2 linked regions of the Mus musculus genome follow. The protein of the gene in region 1 purifies or fractionates together with the protein of each later gene. This does not show direct contact. Links are inferred from orthologs where the notes say so. Each region holds a gene or a part of one and is shown on either strand. Other genes may lie near its edges. The genes, in order: Snap25 and Stx12.

Region 1 (3,876 bases):
GGAGAAATCAATTGTTCAGCTGATAACCTTTACTGCAGGGTTAACTTTAGAGTTTAGGAATATCATCTAACAAATTAAGGGACAGCTTGCCTTAGAGCTGTGAAAGCTTTATAAAGTAAAGGTTAAATTATCAATTCTAGGGATATTGCACCATGAAAAGATTGTAGAAATTGTACATTATTTTGTGCTGAGAATGCTAAATGTGGAAAACAACAATAAACAAACAAGCAGGTTCCATCCCACCATCTGCAGGAATGTTTCCTGGATTCTCCATATGCCTCTCTGCTCCCACCTCCTTCATCACATTGTCCTGGATTTTTAAAACGAAGAAAAACCATCTTATTATTTTTCCTTCTGAAGATTTTCCATGACAAAAATGTTAAATCTACGTCACAGGTACATTTCTTTTTATTTTCTCAGCTAACTTTCCTATATATTCAGCTATATAAATACTCATATTGCCTCTTTTTCCCACCTCGGCACCTTAGCCAGCTTTACTGCAATGCTATGCCCCCTTCCTTCATCTTCCACTATCCAGCAAACCTAGCAGTAATTACTAACGTTCAAGCACATAATTCAGGCAGCATTAGGCTTTGCATTTGACGCAACTGCGCAGAACTGTCTGGATTTGCACTATAACAGCAAAGCATTTAAATAAGACTCCTCCCCATACTCCCCCCCCCCTCCACCTCCCATCAATGAAACGTAGTTGTTTATTATATCTGAAGATTTCAGAGTTATAAACTCCCATGCAGCTAAATAATCTGGAATGAATTTCCACTGAGATCAACTTACATCTACACACAATAATATGCCAGCATATACATACATGGAAACACATGATTTTTATAAAGAGAACCCACAAATAAATAGCTGGGGATAAAATAACTCTTTTTAATAGAGAATTTTAGTATCTTTGGGAGACAGATGATTGGAGTTATAACTAAATGAACACAATTCAAGACCTTTGGGAGGAGGTCTTTAAAAGGGTTCATGCTAGCATGTCTTTAATGCATTATATACATCCTTATATATGAAGCTGTTATTCTCATTTAACAACTGTGGAAAGCATATCATTTTAGTCTTGATACATTCATGACAATTATGAGACTCTAAATCAAACAGATATTTATCATCATGACAATTTTTGCTCATGCGGAGTCTCTAAGCCTCAGAGAAGAAAATAGTTATCATGACCTCAGCAAAATCCTGCAGTGCCATAATAGAAATTGCAGTGAATCTTGGGGGTCAGATTCCTGCTTCAGCCGATTCATAACCCTGAAGGACATGTTTAACTTCTCCCAAGGATGACCATTCTTAACGTCAACATCTACAGCAATCAATCTGCCATATCCAATGTTAATATGAAATGCACTAACTCCAAAACCACAGCCAAAGATATTGAAATTTTTCTTTTGGCTGTGTATGCTTGTTTCTACCTAGTTTTAAGAATAAAGGAAAAGTGACAAAGGGATTTATTCCAGAAACTAGTTCAGATAACCCATATTAAAAAAAAACACAGGGAAGGAACTGTCCTATAAATAGATAGTACTAGCATCATCTTATAAGCCCACTGGAGCCCACCTAATATCAACGGATATATCTACCCTGTGTTAAATACAAAAAATTACAGTATATATGTCGTAATGGAGGATAAGTGACCGTTTTTAAAAGTATGGTTTTGTTTTGTTTTGTTGTTTTGTTTTTGTCTAAACCAAGGCACAGGAAGAAATACAGAAGGCTTCTACAAGTAGTCTGCTTTTTCTTGAAGCTACGTGGGAAGTGAGGAAGAGAGCAGGCAATTGTCTGTAAATAAATCCCTGCTGACAGGATTTATTCTTCTGTCTTTCTTTTAATCTACTATGCGAGCTCTATTAAGACTTTCTATAAGACCTGGATCTCAGAGAGAAAATTTGGCCTCTAGTCCCAGCCAGGCATCTCTGCAGCAGGTAATGCGGCGCTGCAGCCGGATCGCTGTCCGCGGTGCTGAAAGGTCAGGGCGCCGACGCGGGCGCCGAGCACTCCTGTCCAGGGTGCTGAGCTCCCGCCATCGCACCCCCACTAGTCTAGCCCACCGCACCAAACCTCCAGAGCTCTCCCACTTTGCAGCACATGCTCGCCTGTAGCTGACTTGGGGCAGGCGGCATAAATCAAGTCTGTGGGGCATGGAGGCTGCTGCCGCTGCCGCTGCCGCAGCTCAGCTTGCCCAGGGAGGGAACTGCCCCCCTTCTCCTTTCGCCTCCCCAGCGCCCACACCCTGCCTTCTCATCTCCCTTGGGTAGCAGTGCCCTAAACACTACAGTCATAATCATAGGGTTGGAACGAACTACAAGATCGTGTTTTGCTTTTAAATTTTAGACTACAGGTAGAAAAAAAACCCCACAATCCTAATAACCTAAACATATCTCAAAACTGCATCGCAAGATGGAAGAGGGTCCCACGGCTGCTTCAAAAGAGTAAGTTATTATTCTGTACACATCCTCGCTATTTCTTCCCACCACTCCATCTGTAGTGTCCCCATTCACTCCTTCTCCAAACAGCTCACCTCGAAAATACTTTTATGCAGCCCCAGGCGAGAGTCTAGGTAGATATGCACACAGGGAATACCGCACCCTAAGTGCACCAATACTTGTATTTACCCAGGCTCACTTGGGCTGCCAGCTGCAGTCCCTTCTGTGTATGCAGCCATACAGGGCTAGGACCTGGATCGGGGGAGGGGGCTCTTTACCTTGTCTTCTCCGGAGGATGCTGTCCGCTGATCCCTGCAGGTAGCAAGAGTGGAGGAGCCGCCGGGTAGGGAGGGAAGGAAAGACAGCTCCAGACCTCCCCGAGGTTTCTTCTTCAATGCAACGTGAGCTCTGCCCTCATCAAAGATGGCCGTTCCTTTGACGTCAGCAGCTTTTAATAGCCGGCTCCTCGAGGGGCGGGGAGGAAGTGTGATGGGGGAGGGCGGAGGGAGGAAGGTGGCTGGGGGCGGTAGGGGAGGAGCCGGGAGGTGCGGAGCGCTTGACTCAGCTCCCTGAGCGCTTTGCAGCAACCCTTTTTATTTCAATCTTTTATAAACACCCAAATGGAGCGATTCTTTTGACTCCATTTTAGCACCGTCTTGGGAAATACATATTTCTTGCGACTGTTTTCCTGATGGCCTATGCGTTTGCTTACGTGTGCATGCATATGTGAATATATGTATGTAAATACGTGTGTTTGGAATGTATATACAATTATAATAATGTAAACATATACATATTTATATGTAAAACGTTCCCCTGATGATTTGTCTTTGGTTGAGTCACAGACACGAGAGGAAGGTAAAGGAATAGAAGGGTAATGATGTGAGGGATTGGCATAGATTTCTGTTGTGATTTATTTTCTCCAGAGAAGAGGGTCCGAAGAGGCATTCCCCTCAGCTCTCGCTCTCACCAGCTCCTTTCGTGACCAGGTTACTCACATTGCTATTTTTATGAAAATTATTGTATTAAAGCAGCATTGCAGGTTTAGAGTTCTCATTTAATCATGGCCAGTTTGGGAAAGGCTCACACTTTCTTTTAAAGTACGTCAGAGCAATTATCACCGAGATAACACCTGAGTTGGGGAAAGGGAGAGGGAAGCTAGTTAGCCCTATTAGCTTGGGTTTGCAGGGCTAGGGCTTTGAGTTGCGAGTTGTTTGCCCGGGGCTTATAGATGACTCTGTGGCGGGTTGAATTTGCAGTCTGGGCCTAGAGCGGTATTCGGGTTTCTTAGAACGTGTCCAGACATCCGGGGGTGGGGGTGGGGGGAAGGTGGCTAGGACAGTACTGAAATCTGGAGGGTCACTCATTGCACAAGCACTTTCAGTGGCCGACCCTCTGAACCTCTGGGTCTGGTATGAGCAAGAAT
Region 2 (3,815 bases), on another chromosome or scaffold:
AGTTCAAATTCCAGCAACCACATGGTGGCTCACAACCATTCTTAATGAGATTTGATGCCCTCTTCTGGTGTGTCTGAAGTCAGCTACAGTGGACTTACGATATAATAAATAAATTAAAAAAAAACACAAACACACAAAGACTTAACACAGCCCTTTTCATATAAATCTGGCAAAAAAATATTTTTTCCCTAATATATGCAGACACTTGAGCCAAATAAAAGCCATAGCCTGCCTCTCACCTCCAGCTGCCGAATCGCCGTTTCCCTCTCTTTGATGAGTTCCAGGTCTTGCTCAGTGATGGCCGCCTCTTCCTCCTGGCTCTGCATTTGGTTCCACTCTTCATGGCTACAGGGAGACAAGCACTCCAGCTGACTCCTTCTCTCTAAGGTATGAGGAGACATAACTACATCTCTGCTAACAGCAGAACCTAGGCAGATGCTACTCAAGACCCAACTCTTCTGCTATCAGTACAAAATCCCCGTGGGCCGTATTCTCATCCAGAGGCAAAGATGTGATAAGAAAAGAAAACTTCAGCCACAGGCAAAACTGAGATGAGGCAGAATTGTGGAGAACAGACCTCTGCCTTTTCCACCTAGGCTTGTTTGTTTGTTTGTTTGTTTCAGTCTTGCTAGGATTTGCTAGACAAAGGAAGTATCCAGAGGTTTCAGAGGTTTGACTCCATGTATTACACAGACTCAGCTTTCCAGGAGACTCTCAAAGTATAAGTGGGGCTGGAACCAGAGGCACTCAGTGAAGGGAGGAAAATACACTAAGCCACCAAACAGGGTTTTACCAGCTTATCTGTCAGAAACACATCTGGCTCCAGGACTTTTCTTGGAAAAGACTCCACTTAAGAGAAAACCAAACTGGGGGCTGGAGAGATGGCTCAGCGGTTAAGAGCACTGACTGCTCTTCCAAAGGTCCTGAGTTCAAATCCCAGCAACCACATGGTGGCTCACAACCATCTGTAATCTGATCTGATGTCGTCTTCTGGTGTGTCTGAAGACAGCTACAGTGTACTTACATATAATAAATAAATCAACCTTTAAAAAAAAAAAGAGAGAGAAAACCAAACTAAAAGCTAATAAAATATTTGCAACTTGATTTTTTTTTTCAGGTAATTCTGTGTACCATGTGTATGCCTGGTGCCCACCAAGGCCAGAAGAGAGCTTTGGATCCCTTGAAACTGTTGTTTCAGATAGCTGTGAGTACACTTACAAAAAAAATAGTACTATTTATTAAATTAAAAAAAAATTGGGGGGCTGGAGAGATGGCTCAATGGTTAAGAGCACTGACTGCTCTTCCAGAGGTCCTGAGTTCAATTCCCAGCAACCACATGGTGGCTCACAACCATCTGTAATAGGACCCGATGCCCTCTTCTGGTGTGTCTGAAGACAGCTACAATGTACTCATATATACAAAATAAATAAATCTTTAAAAAAAAAATAAATGGAGCTGGGCATGGCACGTGGTAGCCAGAAGACAGCAGTGGATCCTCTGGGACTGGACTGCAGACAGCTATGAGCCACCACAGGAACTGGGAACTGAGCCTGTTCCTCTGCAAAGCAGCCAGTGTTCTTAACCACTAAGTCATCTCTTCAACTCTATTTATTTACTTATTTGACAGACAAGCTATGTAGCCTGGCTGCCTCCTATTCTCTTGATCTTCTTGCCTCATCCCCTAAAGTGGTAGGGTTACAGGTATGCACTACATGCCTGGCTCAAATCCTGATCTTATTTACTTATGCTTTCTTTCCTTTCCTTTTCCTTTTTCTTTCTTTTCTTTTTCTTTCTTTCTTTTTTTTTTTTTTTTTTTTGGTTTTTCGAGACAGGGTTTCTGAGTAGACCTGGCTATCCTGGAACTCACTTTGTAGACCAGGCTGGCCTCGAACTCAGAAATCCGCCTGCCTCTGCCTCCCGAGTGCTGGGATTACAGGCGTGAGCCACCACCGCCCGGATCCTTTTTCTTTTTTTTTCCTTTTCCTTTTTTCTTTTTGAGATAGGTTCTTACTATGTGGCTCTGGCTGTCCTAGAACTCACTATGTAAACCAAGCTGGCTTTGAATTCAGAGATCCACTCGCCTCTGCTTATCAAGTGCTGGGATTAAAGGCATGTGCCACTACAACTAGCCCTGACTTTTTTTTTTTAATTTTTAAGTAAAAATAGTCACAAAGAGACTAGACAGTTCAACAGTCAAGATCACTGGTTGCTCTTACAGAGGACCCAGGTTTGATTCCCAGCACTTACATGGTAGCTCACAGCTATCTGAAACTCCAGTTTCAAGGGATCTAAAGCTCTCTTCTGGCCTTTGTGGGCACCAGGCATACACATGGTACACAGAATTACATGCAAGTAAAACCTCCACAAACATACAAAAAAGAAAAGAAGAAAGAAAGAAAGAAAGAGTGTGTGAGAGAGAGAGCGAGAGAGAGAGAGAGAGAGAGAGAGAAGAAAAGAAAAATAGACACAAAGGCGTGGACTCACAGTAACTATCCAGCATGTTGGATGAGTGACCTTTTACCTGTCAAATGAGACGAGCTGCTCTTCTCTCTGCCTGTCTTCTGCCTAGAAAACAGATGGTTGTAGCTGCTGTTATCCAAAAACATGCCAGAGATACACAAAATAAGAGCTGCCTTGGCTACAGTACTAAGGAGTGACAGCCTCCGCTCCGACCACATCTATAAGTGACACTCTGGCAATCTGTCTTGAGTAAGAAACAAATACGAAATAGGAGAAGGTGAATCTGCCTTTCAGTTGGACCGAGAACACAAAGCACGGTATCTGGTGGAGACAGGAGGCGTGCTGGGCTGCACCCTCTGGGCTGCTAAAGGCCTTCTCTTGGGAAGGAACTTACAGAAAGACGAGATCCGGCTCTCGCTCTCGCGATGCTCTCCTTTTCCTTCTCAGATACCTTTCTCTGCACAACCTGGAAATTGTTTAAGGCCGACGAGAAGTCATTCATGAGCCGCTCCTTCTGAAGCTTCTGCTGGCGCTGAACAAAGTAAACAAGAACTTGAACTCTCAAGTGAACTCAGAACTATTTGGTTTAATACTGATTAAAAGCACAATTGCACACTTTAGAGATTTCAAAGTACAAAAGTTATTACAAAATCGGCTTTTCCTTAAATGCTGTTTGTTTCCTTCCTGAATTACAGTCCCAGCTAGCCCTACGGCCCAGGTCAGAGCACGCTGATAAACTTGGGGCTACATGCATTTACCTCAATACTCAAAAGGAATCGCAATTTGGAATATTTGGTCCCTGGAGAATCTAAATGCATAGTAAAGAATTTTGAGCTCAGTGCATCTAATTTTTTTTTAAGGGAGGGTATTGGAGCCATTTTCCTATACTAAGTAATTAGTTTTCCTCAAAATTACCATTATTCTTTACAGCTTTTCTTTTTGAGTTTTAAAATTTTCAAGAACTTAAAAAAAAAAAACCACAACTTTATTTACTTACAGGCTATCTTCACTATACTAATCTCTCTCAAAACTATAAACTGAGAACTTGCTCTGAGCTACAGATCTGACTTAAATAATGTCTTCTTCCTCTCCTGCTCTTCTTCTTCTTCTTCTTCTTCTTCTTCTTCTTCTTCTTCTTCTTCTTCTTCTTCTTCTTCTTCTTCTTCTTCTTCTTCTTTTTCCTCTTCCTCTTCCTCTTCCTCCTCCTCTGACTCTTCTTTTTTTAATGATTTTGCAAGACAGGGTTTTTCTGTGCAGCCCTGGTTGTCCTGGAACTCCATCTGTAAACCAGGCTGTCATTAAACTCATAGAAATCCACCCACCTATGCCTCCCAAGGCATGTACCTCCACTGCCC

The links.
Region 2: the proteins of Snap25 (region 1) and Stx12 purify together in Homo sapiens (co-immunoprecipitation; 3 studies listed by BioGRID and IntAct, with this or other methods). This does not show direct contact. The link is inferred for Mus musculus from reciprocal best matches to the Homo sapiens genes SNAP25 and STX12.

The regions. Positions count from the first base shown.
Region 1 is NC_000068.7:136,712,453-136,716,328, reverse strand, and holds the start of Snap25 (synaptosomal-associated protein 25), read right to left. Parts: upstream 2,880-3,876; 5' UTR 2,729-2,879; intron 2,687-2,728; exon of another isoform or gene 2,546-2,686; intron 2,457-2,545; exon of another isoform or gene 1,991-2,456; intron 1-1,990.
Region 2 is NC_000070.6:132,860,305-132,864,119, forward strand, and holds part of Stx12 (syntaxin-12), read right to left. Parts: intron 2,993-3,815; coding exon 2,855-2,992; intron 2,566-2,854; coding exon 2,522-2,565; intron 346-2,521; coding exon 240-345; intron 1-239. UniProt on the Homo sapiens protein: SNARE promoting fusion of transport vesicles with target membranes. Together with SNARE STX6, promotes movement of vesicles from endosomes to the cell membrane, and may therefore function in the endocytic recycling pathway.